4 linked regions of the Drosophila melanogaster genome follow. The protein of the gene in region 2 purifies or fractionates together with the protein of the main gene of each other region. This does not show direct contact. Each region holds a gene or a part of one and is shown on either strand. Other genes may lie near its edges. The genes, in order: ex, slmb, Cul1 and nerfin-1.

Region 1 (5,033 bases), on a different chromosome or scaffold from region 2:
CCACATCCACATCAGTGGGTTGGTACCCGCGTCATATGCCAACTTATTCAATAAATTCCTGGCCTCCTCGCCATATCATCATCGCCAGCGACTTTGGCTCTGCCCAAGACCGCAAAGAGCACGAGGAATTTTGAATAGAAAGAGGATCAATGGCAGCTGCTCTTGGCTGAAAGATCACTTTGCCAAAAAAAAAGGCCAGAAATGCGCGCCAATTCCGCAAAAGCGATTCTCTGGACCGGGAGACTGGAGACTGAAATCGACTTCAAGGAATTGCATAAAACATTTTTGGCCGTTCTTTTTTTATTTTTTCACTCTCCTCGCTCAAAACTTCGGCCTCGACCAGGCTCCAAACCTCGCACACACACAAGCACAGATATAGAACGTATGTATATCTACACGATATTGACCAAGAACGTAGTTCCCAAAAGGCTGCTTACAGCAACAACAACAACCGGTCTTAGAGAACCAGCGACCAAGCGATCGACCAAAGACGAAAGAATAACGAACAGCCACAAAACAAAAAAAAAAAACAAGAATGAAAAGCTTGGGCTTCAAGTCGAAGATGGAAGTACTCTAGATCTCTTGTAGTCAGACTGATCCGGTGGGTAACAAACTACCTTTACTCAAATTCCCTTACACCATAGGCTTGTCAATAGAGAAATTTTCAAAATTTGTCCCAGGAGTGGCATGTACTTTTTTTGAAACCTACAAACCTTTTTTAATTCTTCCCGTTGTATCCCAAACAGGGTATAGCAGACACCACAACGCAAAGTACACTCAAAGAAATCAAAGGCTGTGCGAGTTGTTCCCATCGAAACCCCGCCTCACCGGAATGTCTCGCCCAATTTCTACCCCTGCCCCACCACTTCCCTGACTTCAGTCAACAAGTTATGTCCATGGCAAGACGACCCGACCCCGACCCCTTGACTCTCCAATTCTGAGTCTTCGACTTTTGGCCGGGTCTTCAGGGGCGTAGCGAGGGTTTGGCACCGGGGCACAACTTCGATCATCATTATATAGTCTTTTGGTTGTGTTTAGTTACGATTTTTATATCATTTAGACTTTTTTCCATATAATCTAAATTTTGTTTTCTGTGGATTTTTCTAAGTAGCCCCTTGGACGAACTGGTTAAAACCTTACTTGGCTTACACTGATCCCCGCCCTTTCGTGGGGCGTGTGTATGCCGCATATTTGAAGCAAATGATGGTTGAAGAGGTGGAGGAGGGGAAATGAAAAGGAGGAAATCTAAAGAAGAGAAAAAGAGGGAAGAGGGAGCAAAAAGAATCCAGCAAATCAAGCTCACATTATGCTGAGGAATGCGCCCAAGTGACGATATCGTAGCAGCAGAGGACGCCGATAGAGGCAGAGTCTTCAGACCCTCAAGTTCCGATTCCGATTCTCCCTCGTCCAGTGCATCTGTATCTGGAGTTTTGCCCAGAGAGTTTATTTATAAGATAGTCGCATCGATGGCTAGCGCAGGGATACTGAAAGCTAGATTTGAATCCAATAGGCTTCCGCCATAGTTTGGCAAAAAGTGAATGCCAAAAGATAGAACTCATAATGTAATTGTAATATACAATGTAAACTACAAGATAGCATGTGATAAAAAGCAGAATTAGAAAGAAAGGTACCTTTGTTAAAATTCTCATATGCATTTTACTTAAATCTGCTATCCTAACAGGGTATCCTTTAAGCCCTTGAGAATCGGAATCGTCGTCTCGCGAGATAAGCCATTGGAATTCCACTACTCACACGGACGCACACACTATGTAGTTGGCTACTGGGATTCTCCTTTGAAGTTTGTTTTTCTTTTATTGCTTATTGCTATTTACATTTTCGTAGCCGTTGTTGTTGTTGCCATCGGGTTTGTGTATCGCTGTGTGCGCTTCTTTCGAATTCGAATTCTCTCTTGGGCTCTCTTTTCGTTAAACGCGGCTTCGTTAAGTTTTAACGAAATCTCGACTCGATCTTCGTTGTGTTCGGTTTCGCTGAGCAGGGGCAAAATCAGTATATCGCTAAACGTCAACGGTAACCGAACAGATCGTCGGGACAGCAAAGCATGTGCTTTCCACTGGGAAATATAAATTCGGTTTAATGAATTTATTCGAGACCTAACATTCGGAAAAGTTGTTCTTCAGATCTTAAATGCACACCGCACGCACACCAGATCGCCCAGACACACACAGAGCTACACAGATTCAGTTGCTTAAAGTGAAGTTCGGTTTTCACTGAAACAAAAACAGCGCGCTTCGTTTTCGCACTCGCCTCAATTACAAAAGTGATTTTTGTTGGTGTTGGTGCAACTAGTTCTGATTTTGGGAAAACGCGCCTTAAAACCACGAAAATATCTACGACTAGTAGTGTAAAAAAGCTGAAGTCAACTCCGAAAAGTTGGTGCTGGTCAAAAAGAAAAAATTCAGCCGCAACAACAACTGCCCACTGGAAACTACAACTACAACAAATAAAGCAGTCAGCAACAGCAAAAACAACAACCCAGCAAACGGCATTCTTTCGCGCAACAACAACGACTCCACGCACACAGATACTCTCAGTTGCGCTCGCCCGCGTGTGCAATTGTTCTGGTGTTAGTGAGTTTTGATTAAAGTATGTGCGACGCTGGAATGCGACCCGATCGCTGTTGACTGCGCAGTCGCAGCGCGCGTCGTGGAAGTGGAAGAGGTCAGAAAGTAACAACAACGAAACGAAAATTTTACTGTTAGGCACTTATCGATAGCCAAATCAATAGATCGGTTTTAAGAGTGCACGAAGAGTGAGCTTTAGTTAAACAAAACTACCAAACCAAAATTAAAAAGCCAGTTATTGTGGATTACGCGAAACCGAAACAGAAGCAGATACAGATACAGCATTAACAATGCCGACTTCTGCAGCGGCTTAAGGTAAGAAAAGGACAGATACACGTGCAGATATAGAGTGGTGTACCCATATGGGGCCATTTCCCCGGAATTTTAATGACTCCCTGAAAACGGCAAACAAAACAAATGCCAGCAAATTTCTTATCTGTCAACCATAAAATCGCCAACGTCCAACGATTGTTTAACATTTCGTTGTTGTCGCCAGCTTTTTTCTTTAAATTTTTTTTTTTGCGTCCCGCTAAGAGTCAAAAATTCAGCGAATTGTGCAATTAACCCATTTCGGGCCATGGAATATCAAATGTCAGTCAAACTTGACACTCTACGGAGGGTATATTGAAATGGGGAAGCTGTTTAGAGTACTATTGTGTCAAATATATATGTACATTCACATGTGCATACATATGTAGTTATATAGTAGGCCTGACCGACTTTTTAAATACCGGTCACATTTAATTAATTTTTTTTGACATTTTCTATGCGGCCCTAAAGTATCTTTGCACAGGGTTTCACTTATCTCGGGATCCAATTTCCAAGTGAGCTAGTCAATTTGATAGGTTCTATGGCTAATAGGCGACTTAAACGGTTGTCAGAACGATCGACGGCGATGCAATTAAGTGAAAATGGAAGCTCCACAGAGTTCTATTGTTATTCCCGGGTTTGGAATTTCAACCGTCCATCGGGATCCCTGGAACAATTGCTGAAATCAGAAACCGCTTGGCAATCAGACATCTTGAATGTAAATCAGCGAAAGATAAACAAACGGGTGAAAACACACGCTTTGGGTATCAGTCGATAAGCTTTAAGCGGTTAAACGCTAATCGTTAAACGATTTTGCCACCAGGCAATCATATACATATGGGTAACTGTATCTGCGGACAGACGTATCTATATCTCGGCAAGTACACATGTATTCCCCGGATCGTAGTTTTAGTTCGCTTGTGGTTTTTTCGATTGAGCACTGACGTCTACATCTCCATCTCCGTGCGTATCTCTTGATCTCCACATCACACTTGACCTCAGGCAATGGGCTTTTGCATTGAAGCTGACAACAGCAACAGCAATGATCATACAAACTCAAAATATTAATTTCGTAAACTGAAATTCCTGCACGCAGTTGATATGCGTGTGCGAACATTGAAAACTCTGGTTGCTCATTGCCTCGAACAATTCAGGCAATTAAAATGTACAACAAATTAAACAAATTTCGAATGACAATCGGAGTCGAGGCTGGCTCAGAGATATAGAGGATACACTAATGAACGACCTTCGAGGATTAAAAAAATGTACTTATCTCTATGCTCGTAAAAAAATATTGTTTCAACAACATATTGCCAGATAGGCAAAAACTTAAAAGCCTCTTTACTTAGAATTGGTCAAAGAATTATTCTAGCCATAATCAAAATACCTTAAACTTTAGAATTATTGGTTACTCGTATTATAGCGCATTCATTTAACCCAAGATACCCTGTATGGACTGCTAATTTTTCTACGGTATTATGGCAGCATAGTTTCGCACGCCTCCGATTTGGCATGCGGCACACGTTGCGGCTTCTTTTTTGTTTTTGTATCTTGCTGTTTGCTGCTCTCATTGTGGAGGCCATCGCCTCCGCCACCGTTACCACCTTCGTTCGCCCAGTTGGGCATTTCGCGTCTGCGGGGTGTGGTGCGCAGTGGAGGAGAGTGGTGCGATGTGGTGCGATTTTGTGGTGCCTAGCCAACTGAAGCCGAGCGACGACGTGTGGGCTGCTTTCTTTTGGCCCACTCCGCCCTGGCTGCTCCTCACAGCTATCCAGCCAACCGAGCAAGCGACCATTTTCATTATTATCATCGGCGGTCGGCGGGGACATTTCACGCATTTCAAAGACATCAAATTGTTTGGCCATAACTGGCACAACAAGTGGAATTCCGCAGCTCGGAATTCGGCATTTGCCGCTTTGCTGTTTTATTTCTCAGTCGCTTGTTCCCTGATTTCTGTTTTCTCCTATTCGATATTCGCAGTTTGGCAAAGAGACGACGAGTTATTTGGCGATTTGATGGCACACTAAGCCCGGCATACAGAAAACTGCTTTCATAATTACTTGCGATGATTTCAATTCAAAACAATATATATTATCCACATAATGCTTTAAAGGTGTCTGGAGTTCGCGAATTTAAAACACC
Region 2 (4,999 bases):
CAATCCGGAGGAGCAAGGGTGTCTGTCGGGGGACGCGGAACGAATCGCACCGGGTTCAGAGCGCGGCTTGCCTTTCATGTTGTTCAACTTTGTACCTGCAGTTTGTTATTGTTTCGCCAATTGCGTGTGTCGAGGGCTTAAACTCAGCTTTGTGCTGCTAGACTCGCCTGAGATTCTAATGGTGGATGAGCCATTTCTGAGCCTTCATTTTAGGAGGAAAACGGTCAAACTCCGATGGTGGAATTCGCACCCTAACAGCTGTTATTGCCTTCTTATCGGCTGCGTGAATTGGTTTCTCTATTGGTCAACTGGGATTACTGACCTTCCCATACAAAGCATGCTGTTGATAACAACTGGGTTATAAATCACGTTCTTGGAATGACTTAGCATGACTAATTTATCCGTTCAATATTTATAATATTTAGGAATAGATCTAACAGCTTCAAAAATGCAGATTAATATATGATATACCACTTCATCATTTCCTCACTTGTAGAATAACCACTATTGAATCCACAGCTAAAACTGCATTTTTAACGTTCATATTTTCATAGTCGTTGGCTAACATGTTACAGTTTACAGTCTTGGCCTAATACTTTGTTGTGAACGTAATATATCAATCTGTATGAACGGAAGTTATTTCTCCACTTCGACTGGACTCAGGTGGCAATAGCCAGTGTATCGGCAGGCACTCACTTGGCAGCAATGTGATAAAGTCCCGCTGGAGCATCGGCTTGAGATAGGCATTGATCTGTCCGTGTTGATAGTGGCACATGCGCGACAGCAGGTGCTCCACAAAGTCCACCTGGCCCGACTCGCTCCACTGGGTGAAGTACTGAAAGCAGAGTTCCCGCTCCGTTTGGTAGGTGGGCGATGAGTCTTTCTTGCGCACCGGGTCGTACAGCATAGTGGTTGTGAACTGTATGGGTGAAAAGTGGCATAAAGAAGCAAATTAATTATGAGATTGCATTTGTTTCGTTTTTGTTGTTGTTGTTGTTGTTGTGGGGCGACGATGATGTGTTATGGGGTGCTTCGATGTCAAGGGGCGATCGTTAAAACTGGAAAAGTAGGTAGCTGCTGGTTGTGCAACTTTTCTTTAGTTTAGGCTACCGACGACCCAAACTGGGGGCTTAAAATTAGGCAATTAGCTTCGACTACGCTGAGCGTTTCTTTCTATTCGTAATTTTTCTCATTTTTTTTTTATTCGGCGGCGAAAGAGTTTGCAAAGCGGATTTCTGAAGAATGAAAAACGCGACTGGCAGCGCAGCGGTAGAAACAGATCATTCACACGGCCAGTTTATAAATAATAATTGTATCGATGTTTATTTGGTCTTCCATGCTCATTATGCGCATTCTATATATAGACATACCCATTGATGGGCCCCAATTAAATCAAACGTCATCAATTAAACGCTAAAGATCTCGGCAAACAATTTTATCGGCGTGAAGTAAACAAATTGGTCGATTCGAGTGTGAGTGATTTGAGTAATTAAGTTAACTGCAATGCCAGCAATGCGAAAACCTTGCCAGTATTTGTAGTAAATGTTGTGAATATGTATGTACAAACATACTAAGTTGTATTCGGGTCGGTTGCCTTAATTTAATTGCCGTATTATGGTTTTTGTAAGCTTTAGTTGTTTGCCTTTGCCTGGTAACTTTGAGCTGAAGGATGCTACTTAAACTATGCACTGATTATGCTATGAGAAAGGTTTGTGGCAATAAGCAATATGAATGTATATATCCTCTAATTGATAGTTAATAATATCTCGTTTGTGTTTCGCTGCTATTACCAAGAAGCCATCTGTCTCATTAACCAGATTCCACCTTGAATCCGGCGAAATTAAAGCCCAGATGACTCAAGCGAAACCGAGCGAAAAAATTGAAAATAAAAAACGATTTTTTTGGCCCATTACTCGATGGTTTTACGCGAACTGACCTTCAGTAAGCCGCCTATCGTATATAGCTCCACAATTAAATAAGTACTGATTGAAATGTACACGGCCGTACTTTGTGCACAGCGTTTGTTATTAATTGTGTACACAAACTCGAGGCCAATTAACGAAATCTTAAGACTCGAAAACCGGAGATTGGGGATATATACATATATATGCAACGATAATTGAACAAAGGGGATGATGATGATGATGCTGGCGATGAATAAGTAGGCTAATGTCTAATATCCACAAGAGTTTAAGGTTATAGCCCATGGGATGGCTATGTGCCACAGTGTCCGAATTTAATAGAGTGCACGAGTGCAAAATCTGTAGTATATACGAAAATAAAGCACTAGCACACGCACACCAGTGTGTGACAACACGCATAGGTGGCGTAGGTGTGCGTGCCCCTGTGTGTGTGTATGTGTGTGGGTCTATTGAGGCGACACCTTGGGCAATATGTACTTAAATCGGTGTGTTTAATGCATTTAGAAGGGCAGAGATCCCGCTTAAAGCAGGTAACTTAGCGAAAACTCACGGCCTGTGCATTGGAGTTGGTTTCGTCCATTATTTTGTCAGTCTCCATTTTCATCATTGTGTTGTTTGTGTGTTTGTAGAGTTTACTGGCTCGTCGTTTGCTTCTCTCTCACTCGCTCACTGCCAGAGTTTTCCGTCGCACTCGCACTCACGCACCACGTAGCGTTTTTCGCTGATTTTTCGTTAACACGTCTCGCAAATCGCTTTTCGCCAGCGATTTCATATAATTTTTAGGTCGAAGGAAAATTACAATTTGCTCGTCTCGGTTTCTGTAGGACCGCAGGCGGGATGCGCGAAAACGGCGAGGCGAACGCGATGGCAAAGGCAAACTCAACTTGCCGAGGTCCCTCACCAATTGAGCGAATGTCGTATGCAAGTCATTATTCTCACCGCTCCTGGCGGCTTGCACGTTGTTTGTTTTTGCTTATTCAGATGACGCCAACTACTGGACACTCACTTTTCACACGGAGAATTTTATTTTTTTTTACCAGATCTCGCCCAAATACGGACTGCGAAACCACAAAGCCAAAGATGAGTGTGCACTATCGTTATCGATATCTGTCACATATATGAACGGTCACACTGCCACGGGCCAGTGCTGCAAAATACGGCAAGAGCACACAATTTCGTCGTTTCTGCTCTAAATTTTCGAACAGGTTGTTGCAATTACAACTATTTATGAAATGTTTTTAAGTTATTTCCCTTTCAGAGCTATGAATTGTAAGCATTGTATGGCTACCCAACACACTTTGCCAGCTCTGACAACTCTGCACATCCATATCAGCTGATTTCTCGATCGCTCTCTCCGTTTTCTGTTGTTATTTAATTGATAAACTTGTTGCGGGGGGCCACTCTCCAGATAACCCCCCACTTTTAAATTAATAAATATTGCGCAAGTAAGTGCCGTCCAGCTCGCCGAATGCTCACTTTCATTCGACCGCAGAGCTGTTCCCATTCTAATCATTTCCTTGAGCATTCATAATCGAGCTACAATACACATTTTTTTTCAAATTCACAGTGCAACTAACTCAAATCCTCAGGATGGCGTGCCAAAACCAAAATGCCGCCAACTTCTTGAGCAATGGCAAGAAAATTGTGGGGGTGGCTCTCAATTACATGTAACTCAGTGTCATAGTAATCTTGGGTCTGCATGGGTAATCCACGAATACTTTCTTCCGTCGCAGGGACGTTGTGCTGGCCAGGAACGTTCCCGTGCCCAAGGAGCCGCTCGTCTTCCTCAAGCCCACATCTTCGTACCTCCAGGAGGGTCAGCCCATTGTGGTGAGTTCTACAGAGAATTAATTAAGATAACATTAAGATAGTAGCAAGATAGCAAAAGTCCATAAACTGGAGAGTAAACGAATGGAAATTGAAAATCCCTCTTGTGATTTAAACTTTGTATTCCCCCAGTTACCAAAAGTCTTTACCAAGGTGGCATATGAAGTGGAACTAGGCGTGGTGATTGGAAAGCCCTGCAAGAACGTATCCAAGGCAGATGCCATGAGCTATGTGGCAGGATACTGCCTGGCTTTGGATCTAACTGCCCAGTGCAATTTGGTAAGAAGATGGATGCACTCAATCAAGAGCCATTGTTGTAATCAATAATCAATTTCAGGGACCAGCTCGGGCGGCCGGTCATCCGTGGACCTTGGGCAAGGGATTTGATACTTCTACGCCCGTGTCCCAGTTTATACCCATCGAAAAAGTGACGGACCCGCACAACTTGCCGCTTTGGCTCACCGTCAATGGAGACCTTAAGCAAAACGGGTGCACTGCAGACTTAATATTCAAGGTGCCCGACATCATTTCCTACGTGTCCAAGTACATGACCCTGGAGGCCAACGATCTGATCCTTACCGGAACGCCCAATGGTGCCGATGCGTTCAAGGCAGGCGATGTAATTCAGTGTGGAATGGCCGATCTCGCTAAATTGACCTTCCAAGTGGAGGCTGAATAAAAGTGAAGAATTTAATTTTGATGCTATATTCGGATATAATTGGATATGTGCAATGGCTATTTCTTCTTATTACTGGCCACATCATCACAGGCAACCAAATATTTCCACATCGCTGTGCAATCGCTGGTGTTTTTCCATTTGCTGGTCGGGCAGTTGATGTAGACCTTTTCCATGACGCAGGCCAGCAAGGTGGCAGGATAGAAGTCGCAGTCGCCCTTCTTGGGCATCCATTGGAACTCCTGCACCCGCTTCCTAGCTATTTAGAATTAACCATTATTAAGTAGAAAAAAACTTTCGTATGCTAACTCACCGTAGTCCGTGCAACTATTGAGGCTCTTCAACATCAGTTGCGACATATTCGGATCGTTTTTGTAGCGTTGCTGATAGCTCTTCTGCAATGCCTGGGTATTAACAGTGCCATTGCTCAACAAGAATCCATTGGTCCTGAAGGAGCACTCCGCAATACACTGAGGATTACACGTTTCCCAAGAGTAAAGCCAGTTTTAAAATGATATATTTTAGAGCGATACTTACTGCATGCAAAGCCACTTTATCCGACTTAAGATTGCGC
Region 3 (6,743 bases), on a different chromosome or scaffold from region 2:
GGTCTACGTCCTCTACGCCACCTCCACGCTACTGGACGGACTACTGCACCACCGTGTTCCCTACAATACGTACTATCCGTTCATAAACTGGCGAGTCGATCGGACCCAGATGTACATCCAGAGTTTTCTGGAGTACTTCACCGTGGGTTATGCCATATATGTGGCCACCGCCACCGATTCCTACCCTGTGATTTACGTGGCAGCCCTGCGAACTCATATTCTCTTGCTCAAGGACCGTATCATTTACTTGGGCGATCCCAGCAACGAGGGTAGCAGCGACCCGAGCTACATGTTTAAATCGTTGGTGGATTGTATCAAGGCACACAGAACCATGCTAAAGTAAGTCAGTTTCATTATCCTACCGGAAATATCAACAACCGTGAATTATGTTTTCACTCAACGGATCTGAATTTATTCGGAAAACTGAATAAAAGTACAACTTTTATAAGAACTCGCTATTGATATTTCTGAATATATAAGAGTATATTTTTACATTCAGGATAAAATAAATGGTATATCAAACGATTCGACATAAAACTATTTTATTTCAAATAAATTAGCTTACATTTTTTAAAATATATGCATTAATTTAAATTTTCAATGTTAAAAACCCATCCCACTGTTTCCCATGCAGTTTTTGTGATGCCATTCAACCAATCATCTCTGGCACGATATTTGCCCAATTCATCATATGCGGATCGATCCTGGGCATAATTATGATCAACATGGTATTGTTCGCTGATCAATCGACCCGATTCGGCATAGTCATCTACGTTATGGCCGTCCTTCTGCAGACTTTTCCGCTTTGCTTCTACTGCAACGCCATCGTGGACGACTGCAAAGAACTGGCCCACGCACTTTTCCATTCCGCCTGGTGGGTGCAGGACAAGCGATACCAGCGGACTGTCATCCAGTTCCTGCAGAAACTGCAGCAGCCCATGACCTTCACCGCCATGAACATATTTAACATTAATTTGGCCACTAACATCAATGTAAGTCCACTGCTCTCGGTTAGAACGGGGAAGGAAGCAAAGTCCGAACTTCAATCCTTGCAGGTAGCCAAGTTCGCCTTCACCGTGTACGCCATCGCGAGCGGTATGAACCTGGACCAAAAGTTAAGCATTAAGGAATAGAAAGGAATACTCAATACAATTGACCGCACCAGAGGTAAACGTACATAGTTTTATGAACTTAACACTTTTTTGCTTCGTAGAATTATAATAATTGTATATGCATACAGCGAATTATGAATAAACATAATCTAGTTAAAACAAATATTGATCGAACAATGGGAAGTAAAGAAAATCGCTACATATGTATACCGTACAGCCCCTGCAGAAGTCTATTTGTAGGCTGGGAACCTGGAACCTTGTCCTCGGCAATTGGAATATGTTCCTACAGAGGCCGGATTCATCGGCTGTGATCTGGTCAATAGGTTCACTTGATCCCTGCGACTGGCCTTTTCTTTGAATGAGGTGCTGGGTGTCGGAAGATGGAGTTAGTGACGCGTTGGCGAGAATTGCACATTTTATGCGAAGCATGGAGTATTTTTAGCTCGCTTCTAGTTCGAATGTTTCGGCGGCAGTTTATTTCGGGCTAGGAGGAAGGGTAGCGGAGGGTCGACACGAATCTAAGTTTATTGATGATATTTTTAATGGCTGGCATAGATGAAACAGCGAAAGTTGTTCATTTAACAAAAACTTAGGCGAGATAACTATATGTGTCTTTGTGTCCCTCCATTCGCTCTAGATACTCCTTCTCGATCAGGATGTCTATGCACTTCTTGATCACGGGCACCTTAGGCTTAAAGCGCGTTGACAGCTGATTAAGCACCTCCGATATGAGATTGGTGTGGTTGAGTCGTTTGCGCATCTTCATGATGCGGACGATCGCCGCCTGGATCAGTAATTTTCGGTCCTCCTCTATGTGCTTATGTACAGTCTCCTGCTCCACTTTAAGTTCAGTCTTCAAAGGCTGGTTGATGTTAATTCGGCGCTTCTTGTTTTTGTAATCGAGGAACAGCTCCACCGTCGACTCTGGCGTCAGCGAGTTCTCATTGTCGCTGGAGGTCAGCACCTTCGCCTTGAGCAGTATTTGCAATACCTGAAGAAATTCTTACATAAGTCTCTATTAATTCTATCTATTGACACTACTCTCACCTGAATCAAGTTCTCCTGCTGCGTCTGTGTGTTGTCCTGCAGTTGCTGGACTGTAAAACTGAGCTGATCGTTAAACTGGAGCAGCACTGACATTTGGAAGGTGCTGGCCTGCAGGGTGTAGGTGGAGGAATTATTGCGGTTGACGTTCATTATCAGTTCGCCCTTGCACATCTGATACAACCAGTTGAGCTTGCGGCCAGAGTGGCGGGCGGCGTAGAACTCATTGAACTGTCGCACTGACCGCTCCAGCTCAGATGGTAGCAGGAAGTTGTTGCTCAGCTGGAAAGGCCAAGAGCCTGAGGACAGGACTTCGATGCCAAAGTCTATTTCCATGGTCAAGTTCTTTTCGGCCAGGTACTGCTTAAAGTACGAGTTCAAGTCCTTTGAGACGCCAATGTCCTGGAACATCCTCTGAAGCTTGACGGTGTATTCGTAACCACATGTCTGCTTCAGTTTGGAGATCATCATAGCCTCGGCGTCATCCGAAGCCGATGTGTGGTTAACCAAGCGCTTAGCAAGCATCTTGGAGTAATATTTTTGGAAGACGTCCTTATCCTCGATATACTTGAACACGACCATCACCTGGTTAAGATTGTCCTCGAGCTCCTTGTCCTCGGGATTTTTCGAGGATTTTTTTAATAACAGATCGCAGTACTTGGCCAGCAATTCGGGCGACTTGCTAGCACTGTTTGCGATCGTGACCACGTTCGAGTTTATGAACTTTCCACACGCCTTGTCCAAAGCGGCCACAAATCCGTTGTCATTGTTGAACGCCGTCAGAACGAGGGCGTTGTACTTCTTGTGCACGTCCAGGATGGTCTGTACGTACGTCTTGGGATCGTTGGCCGCGTCGGTAGTGCAACACTTGGCAATGGCCTCCGTGCCCTGGTGGAGTATATGGTTCTCAAGGATGGACTTGAGATCTGTCAGGTTTTTGGACGAGAGGGCGACCAAGGAGTACATCCGTTTCAGATCATCGTTTCGGTCTGCGTTGAGCAGATTCTGAAACTCGGTGTGAAAGATTTTCAGATGTTTTTCGATAAGAACCTGAAAGACATTGATTCGGTTAGTAGGCGGCTTTAAAGTTGGACACGGTAGGCAATCCCACCTCTTCGCATGTGGACTTCAGCACATCCGCTGTGGTCTCGTGCAGATAGGAAAGACCGTTCTTTGAATTAAAGCCGCGGACGCGCTGCGTCTCCTCCTCCAGCCTGTTTTCGACGTGCTTCAGATACTCGGTGACCGTGTTGGTGGACAGAAAGGCGTCCGACTCCTTCTCGTAGAAGGCTGATGTGTCTGCGATGAACTTGTTTTCAAAGTTTTGCTTGTAGACGGATAACTTCTGCTGCTCGGCATCGGTATCCTCCTCGTTAAAGCTGAGCTCCACGTAGCACTCGATAACGTCGCGGACCAGCGACCGGTTAATGAGCTTGCCTTGACGCTCCTCCTCAATGGACTTGAGCACTGCCTTGGTGACCGGCTCATTTAGCACTTGGAACAAATGTCCCTTCCAGGCGACGAGGGCCAGTCGGTAGATCTTGTAGATACCCTTCTGCCCCTCCTCGCACTCGCGCTTCACCCAGTTCCGATTCAGGTAGTTGCAGATGCCGTCCAGAACGGTACTGGAGAACTGATACGACTTCCACTGTTTGGTGTAGCGCGACAGGAGTACCTCCTCGCCGCTGATGGCCTTGAACTTGGTGAGCAGCTCGCTCAGGTATGACTTGAGAAATTGTTCCAGCCGGTCGTACAGCTTCTTGCCCACCAGCTGCGCTCCGCCTGTCTTTCCGCTGCTCCGTCCGCTTGGAGCCGCGCTCACGCTGGTGCAGTAGTCATAGACGTGAGTGTAGAAACGCATGTACTGGCTGCGGGTGAGGGACTTCTCGTGCTCAAACACCTGCATAATGCCCTCGACCAATTCGCTCCAGATATCGTCCAGGTTGACGAGTTTCTGTGTGGTCTGGGAATTGCCGGAGCGGTTCATTCTGGCGGCGGTGGGTTGTGGCAACGGCCTTCTGCCTTCTTCCACTGGAGGATGCTGTCCCTGCAGTGGCGCTGGGCTGGAGAAGGCAATGACCCTAGGTGGCGAATGCTGCGCGGGCGACAGGGGATTGCTGCTGCTTTCCAGGTGGCGTCGTTTCGCGGCTCTCGTCCTTGGAGTTGTGGCCGGAATCTTGGCGAATCGGTGTTCCAATTTTGGAATTTAAAGTGTCAATCTGCAGATGAGAGAATCGGTACAAAAACGGAATGGGATTGGGAATGTAGTAGGCCTCGCCACGTTAAAAGCGACGACCCGAAGGTCGCCTATTATGATCCAATGTCACAGCAATAAAAGAGAGGCTTGCGGAATACACACACACACACACATGCACGCACAAGCTGTAATGCAATGCGCGGTGGTCGGACATGCCCTGCAATGTAGGGTATTGGCCAATCGCATGGCAGGTGAAGCCCCACCACCGCCCCCGCTATCGTTAGATCGTGTTCGAAAACCCAACTTCCTGGTTAAATAAACACTCGCATGCACACATATGCAGTCGCCCTCGCCTTCACACACACACCCGCACCCACACAAAGGCACATAAAGCCAAGAGAAAAGATAGCGGACATAACCATTTCACAACTAAATTGTTAACATTTTTTTCGATTTTTCACATAGCTCCCTCCAAACGAAATTTATTTTCCTGGTAAATTGAGCCGTGCGACTGAGTTTTCTTTTCGTGACGTCGTGATGGATTTGATTTCCCCTTGGAGCACACACACTTTTTCTCTTTTGTTCGCCATTTTCAAAGCACGAAATCCCGTCTCTTTGCATTTCCCTCATTTTGCTTTATATTACCTGTTGCCAGACGCTGCTAAAATTAAAACTAAAACTAAATTAAAATTGTGTTTCACTGCTTTGCTTATAATTAAATTAATTTTTTTTTTCTGTGAAAATTGCTAACTTTCGTTTATTCCTAACTATTAAAATGTGTGACCGTTCGGCCATTGCGCTGCAAGGCCCTCGACGGTGGTATCGCTTAAGACCAGCTATCGTTGGCGATCTATTTATTGGGCGCCACTATTGGTGGCGATCTCATTTTTCAGGGAATTCTTTACACGGAAAGCAGTTATATTATAGTTTATAATATCAAATATCGCTGTTAGGCTCTTCAAAGCGTGATGTAAAATATCGGCAACGCGGTTCGTATCTTAGATTTTACAAATCCGTTAGCGGTTACAGAAACCTTCTTATAGATGTCATTTTCCTGGGCACACTTCCTGGAACTTGAGAACAATCTATACTTTATATAAAACGATTGGTCTTAGCACTTGCATAATAAAACCCTTTTCAAATAATTAGGGTATGCTTATATAGTCTTATACAGGTTCACCCTAATGCCCGTACGAAACACAACTCCTCCAGGACTCAAACCAATGTGACCGTGTATAGAAGGCATACGCATTTACTTCAATTTCGATTCGTTTGCTTTGACATGTGCGGCAACTCTGACGCCAAGCAAAACAAAAACAGTGCAGCAAAGAAATTTAAAAGGTCATTGTTTATGCTTAGAAGCGGCTATATTTAGTAATTTTGATAGTTGGATACGAAAAGATGTCCTGTCGCTGCTTCTGCTTAGTGGCTGCAGCACTGCTGCTGCTGTTCTTCCACCAGCAATCCTGTGACGCAGCCACCCAGACGCCCCAAAAGACGGTGGTAATTGCGGAGCAGAGTGCGCCGGCTGCTGAGGTGGAGGCCAAAAAGCCAGTCGTGAAGAAATCGCAAGCAGAGAATCCTCCGGCAGGACCAAAGGATTCTATGGTGGTCGTAGACGATGGCGGACCTGCTCCGGTTGCTCCAGGTGCTTCGGTTGCCACACAAGTTTCACCAGGAGATGCCAAGGCACCGGAAATGGTGCAGCCTCCGGGAGGTCTTCCCGTGGATGATGTTCATGTTGAACGCTCTCCCATGTCCCCCGATGTGGACTTTCCGGGCCAGGCTGTTGTCTACATCCTCGTGGGAATCACCAGTACTGCAATACTGCTGCTTATTATGAGGGTTTATAGGTGAGTTAATGAAGGACATATCCTAGAGCTCTAGACTAGAGTCCAGAAAAGCATGAAAGGTTATTTCAAAGTCTTCCTTATTATTTTGTAATGCAAAGGTAAAACAGCAAAGAATAGATTTTTAAGGATTTCAAAAGTTTACAGCGATCCTTTATCGTGCCTTGAAATTAAAATTTCCAGTAAATATTGTTAGAATACTAATTTAAAACTAAGCGTAATGTTTAAATATGTAGCTTTAAATATTCTTATCGGTGGACTATATGCAAAACAGACTACCTATATATACTGAATTTTACTTTATACATACATACCTACATTATTAAGTTATTATACTAGCAATTTTTGGTGATAAGACTAATCGAATCGCAAATCATTGCAGGCTCCGACTTTCCCGGGCGGAGCGCAAGTACGGCGTGCAGGGCGACCGCGCCAACCAGGAGCTGACACCACTGCCCATGGCCATCGAGGACGTGAATAGTGACGAAGAGGACCACACCCTGTTCGAGGTCAATCGCCAGAACATACGCATATTATGAA
Region 4 (5,384 bases), on a different chromosome or scaffold from region 2:
GGCATTTGTGACTGACAGGAATAAGTTGGCAAGGCATCACCGAGTCCTCCGGAGGGGAGGACTTTCGCCACCCGGCACGGGGATGGATTTTGAATCAGTGTATCTGCGATGCCTTTCAGGACCTTCGGATGGCAGCCATCGCGGCCGAAGGACGACAGGACCTTCAGGACAATGCTCGCGTGGCTGGCGCACTTCTGAGACTTTTGTCGCCGATTCACTCGATCCGAAGTTTGGCCCAGGATTTGGCCTCGGATGCGTGCGCTATTTTAATTCTAAGCTGCATGGCAAACATCGATTCCCCTGGCAAAAGGCCACCCTGCTGCGACAGGATCGCCTTGGGAATACTCTCTGCACTTTCAACCATGCACTGCGAGAAAATCAATATTAGTAGCGCATTCAATTCATTGTACAATGTGTATTATAGCATTCTGGCGGAGTTAATACATTCAATTGAATATAAAGCTGAAATCTTAGATCAACTATGCAATTTGGGGGTATTTTCTTTTAGTGCTCACATTGTCAGCCCGTTTTGGGGTGGCAATCGTTGCCATGCACGTGCCTACCGTAATACAAGAACAACAACAATGGCGGCGTGTTCAACATAATATGCCATATTTTCCAAGAGCGAGAGTCCTGCGAATCCTGCGACGAAAGCCCTCGACGGGAATCGAAAGTGCATTCCTTTCATGGCAACCACTGTCGACTCAGTCAGCTCAGTCGGCTTCGCATTTCGATTACATTAATGCAAAGCACTCACACGAACGATACACGTCCAGGATACTCGCACACAGATACAGCTACCGTTACAGCGACAAGGATACGAGGATAGAAGCGATTGTGCGCCATGCTCCGCGGTGGTGAAGTTCGAAGTTCGAATCCAAGTTGTGTCTGCTAGTCTGTTAGTCTGTTACCTACCCCACCAAAAGCGAACTTGACGAGCTTAGTCGTCTGAGGCTGATAAATGCAGTGCCGCAAAGTACACATCGCGAAATTTGTGTATGAGATGTATGAAAAATGTAAAAATAGATAGCAATCCGAACTATGCCCTATGTTGATGTACTTTCCAGCCGTTATTACTTGTTACATTGTTTACTTTTATAACCATCTTGGCCAACAGCTGTTTAGCACCAAATGCCAACAAAGAAACAATTCACCTTTTGGCCCAAGGATATTCCCGATCTATTGATGAACCTTATGGTTACATGCTCAATTAACGACTCCATGGGTGTCAGCTGTTTTTTTTGGCAAAAATAAGGACAATGTGCTGCTCAGATTTCCGCTGAATACACAAACATACATTCATATTTGCCTAGGAAGGTGCTGCGATTTTGGTGCGTGGCAATTTCGGGTACCGAAACAACAGCTGTCGCACATTGATTTCTCCGAGTGCATTGTCCTGGCCGCAAAACGGGAGACTGTGTGGTGTGTGTGTGTGCGTAGGACTTTCACTCCGTGTGTATGTGTGTGTGTGGAAAAAAGGGTGACTAATGTGTGTGTGATTGCTAACAAAAGATTCCGGCTTTTGCGGCTCTGCCGGCGTCGAAAAAGGACAACGACTTCGGCCGAAAAGGGGGTTGAAATGTATTTCCAGGACGCCGGCACAAACAATGATTTCGAGTTTCGGTTTCGCTTTCCTTTGGCCTGTGGTACACATAAATAGCCGCCACCGAGTCCACCGAACGTCATTCGCAGCACAAACGTCGAGCCGACTGGAGGTCTTCTGCATAGAGTCCCAGTCCGCGAGGATCAGCGTTATCAGTTTGTTGTTAAGTTTGCTTAGTTCCCGTTCTACGTTCCCCGTTCTACTCCGTTTTCGTTTTGCCTCGTTGAAGTTTTAAGTTGAAAGTCCCATCGATGCCATGGCCCAGATACAGACACCGATACCGATTCCAGCCCCCGCGGAGCCCATTGAAAAGCTCAGCCACCCGCACAGCATTGGCATCCAGTTGCAGCACAAGGGGATGCCCCATGGCCTGGGCCTGCTGACCACAGTGGCCTCGCTGCCCCCCAAGTACCGCAGTCGATATCTGAACCTGAAAACCAGGTGCGAAATACCGCTGGATCTAACGCTGAAGCTTCCCTCACCACTGCCCAGCAGCGATGTGCCCATGGCGGCCACATTCGCGGAGGTCTATAGCGAAAATACGAGTGCTAGTTCCAGCGAGGTGCAGGGGGAGGTGACCAAGGTGGAGGAGCTGCCGGTGAAGCCCCCAACACCACCGCAGAGTCCAGCAGGGAAGCGTAAATTGAGCCGGGAGAGCTATGACGACGAGCCGGCTAAAATGGCCAAAAAGGAGGAGGAGGTTCCGGTGGAAACAGTAGAATCCACACCAGCGAAACCCGTCAAAGTGGCAGAATCTGCGCCTAAAACCAACAAGGCCTCCACTTCCTCGGGAAAGCCCTCCCGCAATAAAGCCACCCGCAAGCTGAAGTTCGATGAGGAGACCAGTTCCCCCGTCTCGGGCACCGTCATCCGACCGCTCGAGGACATCACCGATGGATCGATGCAGTACAGCAACGGCGACATTGACCCCAAGTACAACATAGTCGAGATCACGGAGGAGACCAAGGCGGAACTGGCCGCCATCAAGAACGTGATCGGGGACTATGTCTGCCGACTGTGCAAGATCAAGTTCGAGGACGCCTTCGGCCTGGCCCGGCACAGGTGCGCCTGCATCGTCCTGCTGGAGTACCGGTGTCCCGAGTGCGGCAAGCAGTTCAATTGTCCTGCTAACTTGGCCTCCCATCGCCGGTGGCACAAGCCGAGGAAGGAGGCGTCTAAAAAGGAGAATCGCAATACCACCAACCAGCCGGAGAAACAGCAGCAGGTGGAGAAAAAGTCGGAGGAGGAACTGGCCTTCGATTGCCAGGAGTGCGGCAAGAAGTTTAAGAGAGCCGCCTACCTGAGGAAGCACCAGCTGACCCATCAGAAAAAGGAAAAGCCAGCGGAAAAACAGTTGGAAATGAAGCCCACCACCACAACTATCACAGGCAGTTTTCACTTTAACCAGGCGGTGTCCACCTCCTCCTCCGCCAGCAGTTCGCACTCCGATGAGGGAGTCTACGTGGTGGGATCGAATGCCAGGGAGAACTACGACTATGACAACGACTACCTCTCGGACTCCAGCTCCTCCGCCTCATCTGCGGGATACGGACGGCTTCAGATTGTGGAACATGGTCTCACGGAGGAGGAAAGCATTGCTGCCGCAGCTCTGACCAACTTGAGGAACTGCGCCTCCGTCATCCAACACACAACCATGGCCCACTGAAATCGAGTGAGATTTATTTTTAATGTTAAGTTTAGTTTCTAGTTGAACACCAAACCCGATGCAGCTGAAACAGACCAAAGAAATAGTTATATTCCACGGAAATTTCGTTTTCCACTTCGTATTCTTAGTTAGCTATAAAATTTAGTTCTTAACCGATTCAGTTTCGTTCGCAAAATGAGTTCAATTCTAGTTAGACTCTAGTTTGTATCCGTACTTCGGCCCACATTCCACACGGCAATTTAGTTGTAACTTAATTTCTAGTCAGTGAATCCAAAGAATCTTGGCACTAGTCAGCTTCAATACGATCTCGAAAAGAGTGTCTCTTGTGTACCACGAAGGCATTTCTATTAGTCTCTAGATTTAGCTAGTTTAGGAACTTTTGGGAGTGCAATGAACCTACAACGAAAGCCAAAGCAACCAACCAAAGATTTATAACTAATACTAGTCAGTCATATATCCATCTACTCCTTTGCTCCTACATCATCCCATGACATCATTCATCACCCATATCATCCTTCATTCTTCTTACTACTAATCATCCCATAGCTTTTCACACTTTCATACCAATTTCCTCATGACTCACTCTCATCCTGTATCATCTTTGCATTTTTTGCTAATCATTTTCCAGTTAATATTCTACCCTTAATTCAACCCTTTAACAACTTTTTCAATCTGGAAATTTCTCGTCATTCTAGTCACAAGTTCTTGCATTCCTTCTAGTCACTTAGGATAAATCATCTCTATAAGTCAGCTTCAGTTCGATCTTACTAAGTTTGTACAAACATATATCGTTCTTCAATTTCGGATACAGCTTTAGTCATATTCAGGTTATATACCGAAACCAAAATTCAGGCAAAATTGTGCAGTAATAGTGTTTAAGTTCGAATCAAACCAAAAAGCAAACCAAATCCTAGTTTAAAGCAAATTCAAGCCCAGTGTTTGTGAACCAAAGTCGAGTGTGAGCTCTAGTCATTTTAGCCACCTAATCAAGCGGAATCAGCTTGTTCTCAGTTTAGTTTAGTTAGTTAAGTTAGGCATAGAAACGGACATTGGACCAGCGTCTCACTACCAGTCAAAGTATTGAACAGTACAACCTAGCTATAAGGGCCACAGGCTTCAGAACCGGCGGTTGTGTACTTAAAGCAATAAAATAAGTAATCCCCGATATCGGGACAATATCACAGCGCTATTGTTCCTTAGCATCAGTATGTGTAAATTGGTTGTAACCGCAGAGTACAACGAAAAGGGAAACTTTCGCTCAATCTAGGAATTAACTAACTCTAAGCTATATCATACATGTAACCATATCGGTTGAGATTTTGTGATACTACAGTCTAAGCTTCAAGTTTACAAGAGAATCGTTGCGCTCGATTGTGCATTAACAATAAGCTAAGAGGAGACAGATCATTGAACCAAGTATTTTTATACGTAATATACACCATATATTTTTATACAAAAACAAACTCTTGAAGACCTTTTTTAATTATATGATGTCTAAGATGTAATCGACATATATTTATCGGAAACCAATATATTTTTATACAAAACCCAATCTTGGAAAACCCATAAAAATTGTAAATTATAAAAGCTCTTGAATAAAAACGCAAAACTGAAAATGAAAACTTCTTGTTGGGTTCTCTTTGGGTTGTCAGGGAAAACAAACCCCCAAATGATTGCTTTATAATTGCGGCGAGGTGGTCATATATCATCTATACGGGGGTTGTAAGACTGGTAACCAATAATGATGAGTGCTCTTGGGTGATTCCTTATAATCATGCCCAAATAACGGCGAACTGCAGTAATGAAATGCCATTAAGGGCCATTGACATGGTCCATCGATCTGGGACCGACTAAAACAAATACCAAAACACACTAACTGCCAAGGCGGAAAAGCGGAAGTGGACCATTGAATCGGACAGATGCATTTGGGCACTGGGCTAAGGACGAGGAAACTTGATGACGATGGGGTGGAATCCCAGGGTGTTTTCAACTCAGTCTCTGGTCGGTCCATAGTGAAACTCTAAACGGGCCAAACTAATGATGCTCTCAACGGAAACGCGTAAAAAATGTTTAATCAAATACAAATGCATGACAGCACGGAAAAAAGGCGAACAG

The links.
Region 1: the proteins of slmb (region 2) and ex purify together in Drosophila melanogaster (affinity purification with western blotting; 4 studies listed by BioGRID, with this or other methods). This does not show direct contact.
Region 3: the proteins of slmb (region 2) and Cul1 purify together in Drosophila melanogaster (affinity purification with western blotting; 4 studies listed by BioGRID, with this or other methods). This does not show direct contact.
Region 4: the proteins of slmb (region 2) and nerfin-1 purify together in Drosophila melanogaster (affinity purification with western blotting; 2 studies listed by BioGRID, with this or other methods). This does not show direct contact.

The regions. Positions count from the first base shown.
Region 1 is NT_033779.5:429,221-434,253, forward strand, and holds the start of ex (expanded), read left to right. Parts: upstream 1-2,006; 5' UTR 2,007-2,897; intron 2,898-5,033. UniProt on the Drosophila melanogaster protein: Activates the Hippo/SWH (Sav/Wts/Hpo) signaling pathway, a signaling pathway that plays a pivotal role in organ size control and tumor suppression by restricting proliferation and promoting apoptosis.
Region 2 is NT_033777.3:21,124,466-21,129,464, forward strand, and holds the start of slmb (supernumerary limbs), read right to left. Parts: upstream 3,021-4,999; 5' UTR 2,530-3,020; coding exon 2,473-2,529; intron 920-2,472; coding exon 697-919; intron 1-696. Other genes in the region: CG5793 (uncharacterized protein), read left to right, coding at 3,513-3,589, 3,656-3,752, 3,882-4,028, 4,087-4,428; Obp93a (Odorant-binding protein 93a), read right to left, coding at 4,485-4,684, 4,739-4,895, 4,963-4,999.
Region 3 is NT_033778.4:7,915,364-7,922,106, reverse strand, and holds Cul1 (cullin 1), read right to left. Parts: upstream 5,154-6,743; 5' UTR 4,999-5,153; intron 4,930-4,998; exon of another isoform or gene 4,773-4,929; intron 4,376-4,772; 5' UTR 4,144-4,375; coding exon 3,268-4,143; intron 3,207-3,267; coding exon 2,160-3,206; intron 2,104-2,159; coding exon 1,702-2,103; 3' UTR 1,134-1,701; coding exon of another isoform or gene 1,056-1,133; 3' UTR 993-1,055; coding exon of another isoform or gene 635-992; 3' UTR 528-634; downstream 1-527. Other genes in the region: Or43b (odorant receptor 43b), read left to right, coding at 1-339, 635-992, 1,056-1,133; CG12159 (uncharacterized protein), read left to right, coding at 5,755-6,206, 6,586-6,742. UniProt on the Drosophila melanogaster protein: Core component of multiple SCF (SKP1-CUL1-F-box protein) E3 ubiquitin-protein ligase complexes which mediate the ubiquitination of proteins involved in cell cycle progression, signal transduction and transcription.
Region 4 is NT_037436.4:907,439-912,822, forward strand, and holds nerfin-1 (nervous fingers 1), read left to right. Parts: upstream 1-1,673; 5' UTR 1,674-1,859; coding exon 1,860-3,269; 3' UTR 3,270-4,881; downstream 4,882-5,384.